Linked DNA regions of Oryzias latipes. The protein of the gene in region 2 interacts with the protein of the main gene of each other region in a biochemical or structural test. Links are inferred from orthologs where the notes say so. Each region holds a gene or a part of one and is shown on either strand. Other genes may lie near its edges.

Region 1 (4,058 bases), on a different chromosome or scaffold from region 2:
ATGAAGCAGATCCTCTTCAGAAGACTCCCAACACGTGACCACAGCTGGAGTTTAAAGCAGGAAGTAGTTCAGGTTCACTCCCCTGACACTTTTGCAGCCATTCCATCACACACACACACACACTCTGGACCACAGATGTTGCCAAGAAAACTTTATTTCAACACAAATAATAAAAACAGCCATTTAACAAACAGGCATCAGCAGTCAGTAAGCGGTTCTGGGGGGAATTCAACAGTCAGCTCTTCAAGGGTTTGTAGGAAGGCATCCAGCTCCAAGCTGTGATCTAAAAAGGAAAATGAAGAGGAGTTTATGAAGGCTTTCCTGCCAACAGGCACACTTTCCAACAATAACAGCCATAACAAGTGGCATTTGTTGGAAGTCACATGATTCAGTTAATGAGTAACCTACAGGTCTGATCATAGTTTGAACTGTTCAACACTAAAAGGATTAACAGGTAACAGGGAACAGCATTGTAGTTTAGGGGGAAAGCTTTCCTATTACGTTACAGTTTGGGATCATTCGACAAGAATCCAGTCTGTGTTTCCCCAAGGGCACTGAGGAGCCAAACAGGTTCTTTGCAACAGAGCTGAGTAAATGAAAATTCAAACTAGTTTATTTTGTATCCCCAAAAGAAAAGAGAAAAAAAACGAACATGTTGACTCCAAAGTTACTAGATCTGTGTACAAATGGTTTGAAGTTTTTTGTTTTAACAGTAAAGCAAACCTCAAAGTTAAAATATTTTCTGTCTAATTTTGAAAAACATGACACGATTACTTTTTCCTAGTATTTATTACTTATTTAAAGCACCATGTGGCGTTCTGTTGCATTTCCCTTTGTTGCAACAGAGTGATTTCCTCTGTAAGCTCCTGAAAATAGGAGATTTATCAGACGTATAAAGGAGAACCATACCTGGAAATCTGCACCCTTTTGCAGGTGAAGGGTCTGGGAGAGGCTGAATCTTTTCCAGGTCTTCCTCAAGAAGAGGCGAGGTAAAACAGGCCAATCCGGGTAGAGCCAGGCCACTGAAAGGAATGAAGTCCTCGGGTATGCTGTACTTCTCAAACTCTGAAAATATGAAGAAACTCAGGAATGGGTGAAAAATTTCCCAGACTGTGAATAAGCCCCTTTAAAACCAAAGAAGTCAGAAAAGACACAGCCACACATGGGAGCCGTTTAACACAGTGGACACTACCACAAGGCCACTGAGCCACTTCCAATTCTTTCACATCATTACATTTTGTTGCTTTTACTTGAACAACCACCACTCATGAGCAGAAAGACGCTGTGCCCGTTGATTATGCTCAGTGATAAGAGTGGATATTGTAAACATGGTGGCTATGAAATGATGTGACATTAGCAGTAAAGACTTTCAGATGGCATACAGCTGCAGCACGACCAGCGGAAATGTGGAACTACTAAACATCTTGGTTTAAAAAAAAAAAAAAAAAACCTCTTAAAAGCATAATTTGCCTGCAAACCAAACAAACATGACATTACCTAGAGGGTTGTAAGGAATAAAATTTTCCATTTTTGGGTATTCCTCCCCTTTGGCTTCAGAAGGATGCTCGACCTTGACTTCCTATTGAGAAGAAGGGCAATATGGACACACAGAAACAACAGAATAGCCTTTTGCTGAAATAAATCCATTTGTCATTAGTGTTTATTTTTACCTGTGGTTTTAAAACTTTTTTCTCTTGTGTACTCAAAGAAGGGGTTAAGATCTTTTTGTTCACCACCCCAAAAGCCTTACGCGCTGAATGGACAGGGGTATTTTTGACCAACATTGGAGACTTCAACTGTTTTTCTGGTTATAGAGAGCGAGAATAAAAAGGAGGATCATGCAGAGTTCCACAAAGATAATCTGAAACAGTTGAACATGTTTTTAATACCTGGAGCAGACAGAAGCCTCTGACGCATTTTCAGGGAAGAGGGACGGAGGCAAACATTCTCCTGTTCGGTGAAGATGACATTTGCCATCTTGGCTAAAAGGTAAAAAAAGAAAAACATTTGGTTTCAAAAAACTTTCAATTACTTTAAATGGGGTTTTATATACACAAATTCATAAAAATATAACTTAATTTATTGAAAGAAAAGGGGGAAAAAAAAGGTGCACTTTGAAATTCATAAGTAGACTAACAGAGTTGGCTATTCTCATTTTGTTTCCCCACAATTCAGGCATTTTGAGGTTCAATTACGGATTTATTTATTTTTTTTTTACATCAAAAAGGCTTTCTGCTAATTGGTGCTGATGTTTAGCATTAAGAAGAAGATTATGTATTGTCAGGCCCAAAACTAAACTAAGCTAAAGTAGACATTTTGTTTTCATCTAACAACTATGCAATTATTTACAAAATAATGGATACATTTCCCATTTGGAAAATGATTAAGTTCAGAATAATTTAGTTCAGACAACAAATATTTATTTACATTTACTGACAATAATGTAAACAGCAGAGATTTGTCCAATGCTACATTATTGTTAGCGGTTAACTTTGTTTGTCATGCAACGTTACGTACGGTTTAAAAATTATCGTTAGCAGTTTGTCGTGCAACGTACGGTTTAAAAAAAATTGCCCATTTACGTAAAATCTTGGAATGATAAACCAACGGTTACTTTCACGTCTATTTACCTTAGTGTTAGTAACCTCAAAGAACAATAGTTCTTGGTCTCAATCCGAAGGCTTTATCGTCTTTATCCTGCTTTTTGTTTTTTATCTAGCTACAACAGCTTCCGCACCTTTGTTTTTAAATCCGTTCACTTCATTCCATTGGTCGTTGTAGCCCTCGTGACTGTCGTTGGGCAGTGATTATGATTGGTCGTTGTACCCCACGTGACTGGCATGAATTAATTTCACCCGTGTCTCATTTCAAAGCGTTGTATGAACAGAATTGGGCATATTATCGAAAAAAAATAATCATTTAGTCAATACCAAACTAACAAAAATTGCCCATATTCATAAACTGGATAATTATTCATGCTAATTATTCCCCTTTTATTTTATTTTTTTATTGCTTGCTGACTTCCATTTACTAGCGTTCTATCGGACGAAACCATGTCTGCACCATCTTTCTTTATCTTATGTGTTTATTTTTCTATAAATAAATCCGTCTTAAAGATAAACTGCAGTTATATGTCTTTTTTTCCCTAGTACCTATTGTTGTAATCAAGACGCAAAAGCAAAGCTACGTGTTCTCTACATGATTAACTCCGTAGATTCAATGGTACATTCCAAACAGGCCATCTTTCTGAGGAACGTTAACTGTTCAGCAGGGCTGCTGAAAGAGGACAGTTGAGGGAGAGCTAACAGAAAGCATCATGGCTTCGACCGAGATAGCAAGGCAAGCTGTAAGTCTTCTGTTTTACTTTTAAACGCATCCATCAGCCTAAATATGAATTAGTTTTACGTTTAATGTGCGTCAAGGATATGTTAGATGGAATTAGGTGTTAATAAGGAACTCCCCGCATTTTTTGTGCCTTTCAGAAATTCGCGGCATCATAGCTAAACCAGTGTAATGTCACTGTATTGACCAAAACACCCCAAATATGCTTTGGATATTCATTTAGAGCTGTGCCTTTGTAAAATTGTAGATAGGAGTACCTGGTCTTAGCTTTTGTATTGTATTCTTAATCGAGAACAACGCCTTTATCTCCATGCTGGTTACAGCTAGCTTAATTATCTCATTAACGAAACTGCGCCTGGTAGAATTATTAGTTTTTCATTGCCGTCGTAACAAAAATGTCGTATATTTAAAAGGTTTAATCAATACAAATCCCCCCGTAGGCCATTCATTCTGAACGCCCCCATTTCAGCTCAGCTTCAGTGTTCATTTCCGTTCTGTTCTGTCATGTAAATCCCGTTAACTTTCAACGGGCGTTGTCTAAAAGTAAACAATATTTCTTGGTTACTATTACTTAGTAGTAATGCATATAAACAAGCGGTTTTAAAGCTATGCTAGGACAAAGTGTGCTGCTCTTTTTTTTAAGGGAGAAAGGAAACCACTTAGTCCAGAGGGAGTGCTTAGAATAGCAAGGTTGTCCAGTTTTATATCCCTTTGTG
Region 2 (3,537 bases):
CTAGGGGCGGAGCTGGCAGTGAAGATTCTTCCTAGAAGGGGCTGTTCCTCACTTTGTGATGTCACAATGTGAAAAACTCGTTTTGTGGGCTCGGATGGGCTGGAGCTCAGAGAGAGGGTTTTAGAGGAATCCCCAAAATGCATGAAAAGATCCAAATACAACTTTGAGGTTGTTTTTAGTGAGGAATAAATATAATACACTTAAAAGCTCAAAAAAGTGGGATGTGCATGATATAGGCCCTGTATAATTAACAGATATAAGATTCTGGTTCTAGTATTCTGCAGTTGTAAAAGTCCCCACAGCAATATTGTGGCTAATGGCCCTCACCTGTCTGTAGCAGCTCACCTGAATGGCTCTCTGGAAGAACTTGATAGCGATGTCGTGCTCTCTCTGAAGACTGAAGCAGTTTCCTGCTACACACCAGGCCTGCAGACACAGACCAGCCAATCAGGGAACATCTTCATCCGCTGACTTGCCTATTGACGGAGGGTGGTGCCTCTCACCTCGGGGCAGTTCTTGTCCATATCAGTGAGATCTTTGGACAGAGCAGATAGGGCAACATCTTTCTGCAGGTGCCACAGTGTGGTGGAGTAGATTTCCATTCCCTCCACCCGGTATGACTCAATCCGTCGAACCTCACTGAACAGACGCTCTGCCTGAAGGCACATGCTGGTCAGTTGGAACCCCCCCACTGCACAGATCACATGACCAGGTCTCAATAAAGGTAAGCCAGTGTATCCAGAGAGTTACCTGTGTGTACTCGGCCAGCTCAAAGTAGGCTTTTCCAATGTGAGTAAGCACCCAGCCAGTGTTGTAGTGCTGGGGGGGTAGCGAGGTTAGTATGTTGATGGCTTCTCTGCAGCTGTAGGAGCACAGCGCCTGGTAGCCCCGCCCGAAGTCTCTCAGCAACGCCATTACACTGTCTGAACACAAACAGAACAAGATCGGAAACACACCACAACCAGAGTAAAGAAACTAAGTAGAACAGTTTCTACTTAGTCTATTTGTCAATGTGCCAAAGGTTTTTGTTTGTAGAACAAGGCTTATGTCTCTTTGAGACAGTCTGGGCCTTCAAAGAGCAATATTACTGTAGCTGACCATGCCCCTTTAGTACCTGCAGCTGCCCGCTGGTAGGGGGGAATCCTGGCATCCGGCAGGCTCAGACTGGGGTCCAGCCGCAGGATGTCCAGACTTTCGTTCAGATTGCTGCTGTTAGAGGTCTTTGCAGATTTACACTTGGTCTTCCTATTGGGGATCTTGGTGGGAAACTTCATCTTCAGCTTCTTACTGTTCTCCTGCAGAAACAGACAGCGGTGAGTCTGCATGCACTGAAGAAGCACACCTGTGGGGCACTAACAGGCACACCTTGGCAGTTGAACTGGCACTGGTGAAGAGTCTCGAGCTTCTTCTGGGCTGAACATTAGGAGGGCCAGACATGCTAGGACTAAGGACCTGAGGGGACCCACTGACAAAGAGAAAGAGACGACATTCAGACAGAGCTCCCAGATCCAATCCCTTGGCATCTGTGAGTCTTACCTGGTGTGAGGTGCAGAGGTCTGTGACTGGTTAAAGGGAATGGGAAGAACATCTCTACTGTTTCCACTCTGACTGAAGACAGACTTGGACTGACTGATCCTGGACACAGACTGGAGGAGGAACACAGGTGAAGACAAGTAAAGACAGGTAAGGTCAGGTGAATTGATACAAGTACAGAAAAATATGGTTCAAACCCACTAAAAACAGGAGAGGTTGGGTGAAGAGATAAAATGCAGGTAATAGAATTAGCACCAGCAGAAAACAGCAGAAATATTGACCAAAAAATTGCAGGTACCTTCTTGCTGGGAGTTGTAGTCTGTGTTTCCATGGTAGCCGAGAAGTTCTGCAGGTATGTGGGTTCTCCTGGGCTGGGGTCCAGTGGCAAGATGCCAAAGCTACACACAGATAGTTATAACCCGGGTGAGAAACTGCGTTAGTCTCCTCTCGCATCTCTTGCGTGACGACGACACCACACTGCGTGCGTCGTAGCGTCACACAGTCATGTGACGGGTAGGTTGCCGGAAGAAGCGTCTGGGGAAGTTTCGGGTGTTTAACTGGAGGTACGTTAACTGATTTCGTCTTAGTCATTTCACTTTAAACAATCCGAAAACTAACGCTACTAACATCGGAACATAGGAGCCGACTACTGGTGCCGATTTGTCCGGAGACGAGCGTGCAATACGAAACTAAGAAAACAGAACTGGTGAGTGAGCTATTGTTAGCTTAGCCGTTCCATTACTTTACATGGAGCGGTTAGCAATGTGTTTAAACCAACTTTCTCCAAATGTTAATTTATTTGAAACGTAACTTATAGCCAATTTTCTATTGACTGTGATATTGTTACATGCATGAATTTTTATGGTCCACATGTTGGTCAGAACTTTTGAATTGATGGATTGATCATGACGTGTCATTGTGTATTAGCATTTTGCATTTTAAATTGTGATTAATATGATAAATGAACTGGTTAATGAATAAGTTTATATTTCATTGTTATTTTGATCATGAACCAATTTTGCTTACAATTGTACAATTATGGAAGATGACACTTATTTATAATGCAATCAGCTTTATTTATTAGTGATGTTGGGAAATGAATTACCCTTGTGTGCACACAGAACTGGGACCTATTATTTTCTGCAGGGCTCCAGACTGCGACCAATTGGTCGCATTTTGCGACCAAAATTTGAGAGTGTGCGACTGAATTTTACATCCAGTCGCACATGCGCGACCAGTAAATTTGCCTCCCCCACCCTACGTATTTTTTTATACATCAAACGTGGAAGGGGCACGTCAATGATCAATGAAATAATCAATGAGACGCGAGCGCACACGCACGCAGGCAGACACACACACTCGCGCACATACTCATGAAACGCGAGCACACACTCGCGTGATACCTGTCTGTGAGGCGGCCACTGCGTGTGAGAAGAATAGGGAAAGCCACTGTGAGTGGCTAAAATGCGTGGAGGGGATAATCGAGATAATAGAGCGCGCGTAAACATCTGTGGGAAGGAAACGGAGACAAATATCACAACCTCATCATGTGCGTCTGAGCTATGAATAAGCGAACTATTGATTTGTTCTTCCGACCTGCGGCTAGTGTACCAGTGTCAGAGTGTACAGCAGGGATCTCAAGCTCGCGGCCCGCGGGCTATTTGCGGCCCCCAAGATGATATTTTGCGGTCCCCGCCTTAATATTAAAGTTTAATGTTACTGCAGCCCGCCAGTTTGTATGAAAGACACTTTTTCATCGTCGTGCACGGAGCTGACCAACCAATCACAGTGGGGTAAATGACTCTTGGGGGCGTGACATTGACCGGGTTTGAAAGCAGGAAACCTGACAGCCCCCTCCCCAGACCACATGAAGGACTTCCTTACTTTCCTTTTTAGAACGTATCTATTCGCTCGTAATTTTCTACATACATGCAGTCCGTGCTGAACTTTTCTCTGGGCCGCACAGACCCGGTGGAAGGTTTAGGTTTTGGTGACGGTTACGGC
Region 3 (4,297 bases), on a different chromosome or scaffold from region 2:
ATCACAACGTGTCTGAACTCGTACCTTCTATAGCAGCAGAATCTAAGCCCAGGGGCTCAAACTTCTGCCTCCACAGAGACATCCCTCTCACCTCACTGAGATGGTACAGCAGAGCCTCGGAGCCACTGCAGGAGGCAGAAGAGAGGAGCATGAGGAGCATGAGGAGGAGCACTGACCTGAGGACAGAAGGGGGAGCGAACCTCTGCAGGTGACTGATCACCAGCTTCTGGATGCTGGAGTAAGAAGACTCGATAGACTGGCCAAGCTTCTTCAGACCCTAAAGGGTGAAGGAACGGAAAGATTTCAGTCTCAAGTCCTCAGAAGGAGGTGGAGTCTGAACTCACCTCTCCTCACCTTTACAGTCAGCTGGTTCATGAGGAGAGCCTGAAGTTCAGGACTGGAAAGGATGAAAAAACAGTTAAAACAATTCCTTACTCACTGCTACCATCCACAGGACGGTCCAGGCAATACAGTTCAACCATGAAGACAACAAAGGAGGTTTGCTTTCCACCTGGACTGTCCCCACAGCAGGAGCTCCAGAAACTCATCCTGAACCTGAGTGCTCGTGTTCTTTTCCTGGGAACACAGAAGACATGACCCTGAGTATGGTGGCCCTGAGGTCCCAATCACATTAACACAAACGCATGTTAAGACCAGAATGACAGTTAACAAAGCAAAACTAAAAAACATCATCTTTTGGAAATCAAAACAAAATTCAGGAGACTGAAATGTAAACAAAAAGATTCAGAAAAAAGGAGTTTCCATAAGTTAATGTTAAAATTAAAAAAGAACTAGAGAAACCAGAAGAGGCAGGTCCTTTGAGGCATTGCTGATTGGATGATGACATTTGAGTTGTGAAGAAGAGGAAACGCAGAAGAAGGTTTCACCTGAACTGTGGCAAACAGCTGATTAAACAATCAGCAAACGTGTGCAGTGGGCGTGGCCAGAAGCTTAAAGAAATCTCCTCTGATGGAAGAGATCGCCATGACAAAGAACTTCCCGCCAAAAAGGTGAACAAACATCATCATCCAATCAGAGACGTCCCCTGATACCCACCTTATTATTATTTGGTCTGCTTTTTTCATTTACCATGATTTTCTGGTGAGAGATTTGTTGATGTGATTTGCACATCAGGGCCACCGTACTAAGCCAATATGCGCTCAAATGTTTGATTCTTCCTCCAGAGAAAGGCATTTCTTTACCAAACAAACCTGAACAAACTTGGTGAGCCGAAGGTCCATCTGCATGAGGATGTCCTCCCACGCCTCACACATACACGTCAGAGAGAGATGCAGGTACTGCAGCAGCGTGGAGATGAAGGTGAACTTCAGCGCCATCCGGGTGACCTCAGGCAGGCAGTCAGACAGCAGGCCTGTGTCCAGCTGACGGGCAAGGAGGACGCATTAGGAACACAAACAGAGCATAGATACTCAGAGAGAACCAGAGTGGATCACCTCACCTGGATGTAGCAGATCTCTGGGTTATTGTCAGCAGACCTGACCTCTGCGATGACAGACAGAGACCTGAGATCACTGGATAGACACAGATTGCGGCACGTTCCAGTCACCTGCACAGCAGGATAAATCCAAGAAAAACAGTTCAATCTCCAGGCATTTCAGGATTACTACCAATTAAATCTGTAATACAAGTAAAACCCCTCTTTGGTCACTTTTAATTGTTTGTTACAATGTCAAGAAAGCTTTCTTACCCCATCCACAGCTGCTATCTTATACATCCCATAAGCATAAAGCTCCACAAAGCCAGAATCTCCTCCAAGAACAAGAACATTCAGTCTGCAAGGAAAAAAAAAAAAAATCACTCTTACAGTCGTGGAACCATTTTCATTCAATCCTCAAAAACTGTCACCTTGTTTTTTTACCTGGCATCTCCCAAGAGATTGAGTATTTCATCTGACTTCTCTTCACTGTGACAGAGGGAAGAACACTCAGGAAAAATTCAAACGCTTCCAAACATTCATCATGAATGGTGTCTCACCTGAAGATCTTTGAAGTTGTGCTGTAGCTGTGGAGGAAAAACAATGACTGCATGGAGATTGCCAGTAGATGAGATTTGAAGCAATGCACGTCTTCATGGCTTTACCTTTTTGGAAGGGTTGGGATTTTTGGGAGAAAAAGTTTGGATTCATCCTCTGAGCTGTAGAAAGAGCTGAGGGAGCTGGAAGGTAGAGAACGATAACTTAATATGATTCCTGTCTGTTTGGTTAAAGCATGGATATCCCTTGAGCCTCTCTTCACCTGCTCTCATCCACGACCTCCATCCAGTGCATGCAGGTGACGGCGCTCTGCACTGGGAACACGTGAAGGATTTCTGCCTTCTCAACCCCACAAAGGACGATCTGCTTTGTGTCTCCGAGACTGAAGGCCAGTGCTGGAGATCAAATGGATGAGCAGAGTATAAAATCCTCACATTCAAGTTGAAATATGTCGAGTCCACCCTTACTTTTGCCATCTGGTCTCCAGGCAAGCGCCGTGATCTCTTTCCCGGTGCGTTCAGTAGGTGGTAAACTCCAAACCCGCTGGAAACTTGCTAAGCGATGCAGCAGCAGCTATGAAAATCAAAACATTCAACTTTGGATAAAAAACCAGCATAAAGAGTAAGAGGGTTTTCAGGAGCTGAAGCTCACCTCTCCAGCCGTGTTGGCCAAAGCGATCAGATCCCTCTTTGGAGACCAGGCCATACACAGAACAGGGTTTGGAAGCTGCTTCTCCCCTACCTGCCGGAAGGCTGGCATGATGCAGCCCGCAGGTGGAGCGGCCCACAGGTGGAGCGGCCCACAGGTGAAAGGAACGCAGGTGGAGCGGCCCGCAGGTGGAGCGGCCCGCAGGTGGAGCGGCCCGCAGGTGGAGCGGCCCACAGGTGAAGTGGATGTAGGTGGAGCGGCCCGCAGGTGGAGCGGCGCCGACAATGACTGGACGATGCTCTTCTGGGACAGTTCCACCTTTTAAAAATCTCAATGGTTGGTATTCTGAATCTGTCCAGCTGACATGACCTGCAGAACATGACTCCATTATTCATTCAGCCTGTTCTTGTTCTTCATTTCCTGTATATTTGATCAGATGGAACATACAGCAGGTGGCTTTTCAGATGAAACACGACACCTCTTAGATTTACATACCTCTGTCATATTAAAAAGCAAATAGCCCAAACCAACAAAACAAGTCAGGAAAATAATAACAATTAATGCAAACAATATAATCAATCCACTAACTGTGTTTTTTTTTTGTATCATTCATTTTTATTTCAAAAATGTTACGTCCATTTTTTAACCGTTTCTACTATAAATCAAACGAAAGAAAGAAAAGATTTTTCAGCCAACATCAATACAGGAAATCATAACCCTTTAATCTAAAACCAAATAATAAAAATAAAGCTTTTAAGTCGATTCTTCGCTGAGAAACTCACTTGTTCAGATGAGATGTGACGCTTCCAGCTGTTAGCCGTTCAGCGGATAAACACGACTCTGTTTGTTTCAGTCCTTTACCGTCTTAGAATGACAACACAGAAATAATCCACATTAAAGATACTCTTTTGACGGTTGATCCAGAGTCTGGCGGTAGATTTTCCTGAAGTCGTTTATGCAGCTACTGAGACGCCGCCATACTTTTCTCTCGACCAATCACTACGCAGCAACGGCAGCCGAGAGGAGACAAAGTTCTTAGAAGACAAAACCGCTCCTTGAAAACTAGCAACAGTTTAATCGATGGAGCCCGATGGTCAGGGTTATGTCATGGAATTCCTTAGCAAATATTAGCCTATTTCAGTTTACTACAAGTATACTTAGTAGTGATGGATGAGGATGAGTGTATTGACATATTACCCAGACTGTGTCGACTCTGTATTGACGGTGTTGTTTCCTCTAGTGACCGCTGACATAATAATCAAATCATTGCGGTAAATAAGTAAGTAAAATAAGATTTAGATGAAAAAAGCAGTTAAAGCCCCACTTAAACAAAATATGTATTTTATATTAATTTTATTTTATGGAATTATAGCATGTTTTGTAGCACATTTCTCCTGAAAAAAATCTCATGTTTCTCATGATAGAGGACATAGAAAAATAACATTAAAACTGCATTTTTGAGTATTTCTTTATTCAACATATGGTGAATTAGGAGCAGACAAAAACTGCCATTTTAAAATTTTGTAGTTATTATAGAGACTACAGACAGCAAGTGACCAGCTCCCAGCTCTGCTCCATTCTGATGCAGACCAACAGATCCATGAACGTCTGTGTTTTCCTGCTCTGAGCTGGAATCTGGATCAGAACTGGACGGAG

The links.
Region 1: the proteins of cdc27 (region 2) and pttg1 form a complex in vitro, tested with the Homo sapiens proteins (3 studies listed by BioGRID). The link is inferred for Oryzias latipes from reciprocal best matches to the Homo sapiens genes CDC27 and PTTG1.
Region 3: the proteins of cdc27 (region 2) and anapc4 form a complex in vitro, tested with the Homo sapiens proteins (2 studies listed by BioGRID). The link is inferred for Oryzias latipes from reciprocal best matches to the Homo sapiens genes CDC27 and ANAPC4.

Annotation. Positions count from the first base shown.
Region 1 is NC_019868.2:9,721,917-9,725,974, reverse strand, and holds pttg1 (securin), read right to left. Parts: upstream 2,801-4,058; 5' UTR 2,738-2,800; exon of another isoform or gene 2,631-2,737; intron 1,983-2,630; 5' UTR 1,978-1,982; coding exon 1,890-1,977; intron 1,805-1,889; coding exon 1,671-1,804; intron 1,580-1,670; coding exon 1,498-1,579; intron 1,066-1,497; coding exon 910-1,065; intron 284-909; coding exon 198-283; 3' UTR 137-197; downstream 1-136. Other genes in the region: sept6 (septin-6), read left to right, coding at 3,317-3,346. UniProt on the Homo sapiens protein: Regulatory protein, which plays a central role in chromosome stability, in the p53/TP53 pathway, and DNA repair. Probably acts by blocking the action of key proteins.
Region 2 is NC_019866.2:96,478-100,014, reverse strand, and holds part of cdc27 (cell division cycle protein 27 homolog), read right to left. Parts: intron 1,932-3,537; coding exon 1,832-1,931; intron 1,647-1,831; coding exon 1,537-1,646; intron 1,466-1,536; coding exon 1,366-1,465; intron 1,296-1,365; coding exon 1,115-1,295; intron 924-1,114; coding exon 751-923; intron 657-750; coding exon 504-656; intron 427-503; coding exon 346-426; intron 1-345. UniProt on the Homo sapiens protein: Component of the anaphase promoting complex/cyclosome (APC/C), a cell cycle-regulated E3 ubiquitin ligase that controls progression through mitosis and the G1 phase of the cell cycle.
Region 3 is NC_019862.2:1,185,721-1,190,017, reverse strand, and holds the start of anapc4 (anaphase-promoting complex subunit 4), read right to left. Parts: upstream 2,815-4,297; 5' UTR 2,753-2,814; coding exon 2,645-2,752; intron 2,567-2,644; coding exon 2,461-2,566; intron 2,389-2,460; coding exon 2,256-2,388; intron 2,176-2,255; coding exon 2,101-2,175; intron 2,023-2,100; coding exon 1,996-2,022; intron 1,925-1,995; coding exon 1,880-1,924; intron 1,794-1,879; coding exon 1,709-1,793; intron 1,568-1,708; coding exon 1,460-1,567; intron 1,383-1,459; coding exon 1,212-1,382; intron 577-1,211; coding exon 512-576; intron 398-511; coding exon 355-397; intron 278-354; coding exon 201-277; intron 126-200; coding exon 25-125; intron 1-24. UniProt on the Homo sapiens protein: Component of the anaphase promoting complex/cyclosome (APC/C), a cell cycle-regulated E3 ubiquitin ligase that controls progression through mitosis and the G1 phase of the cell cycle.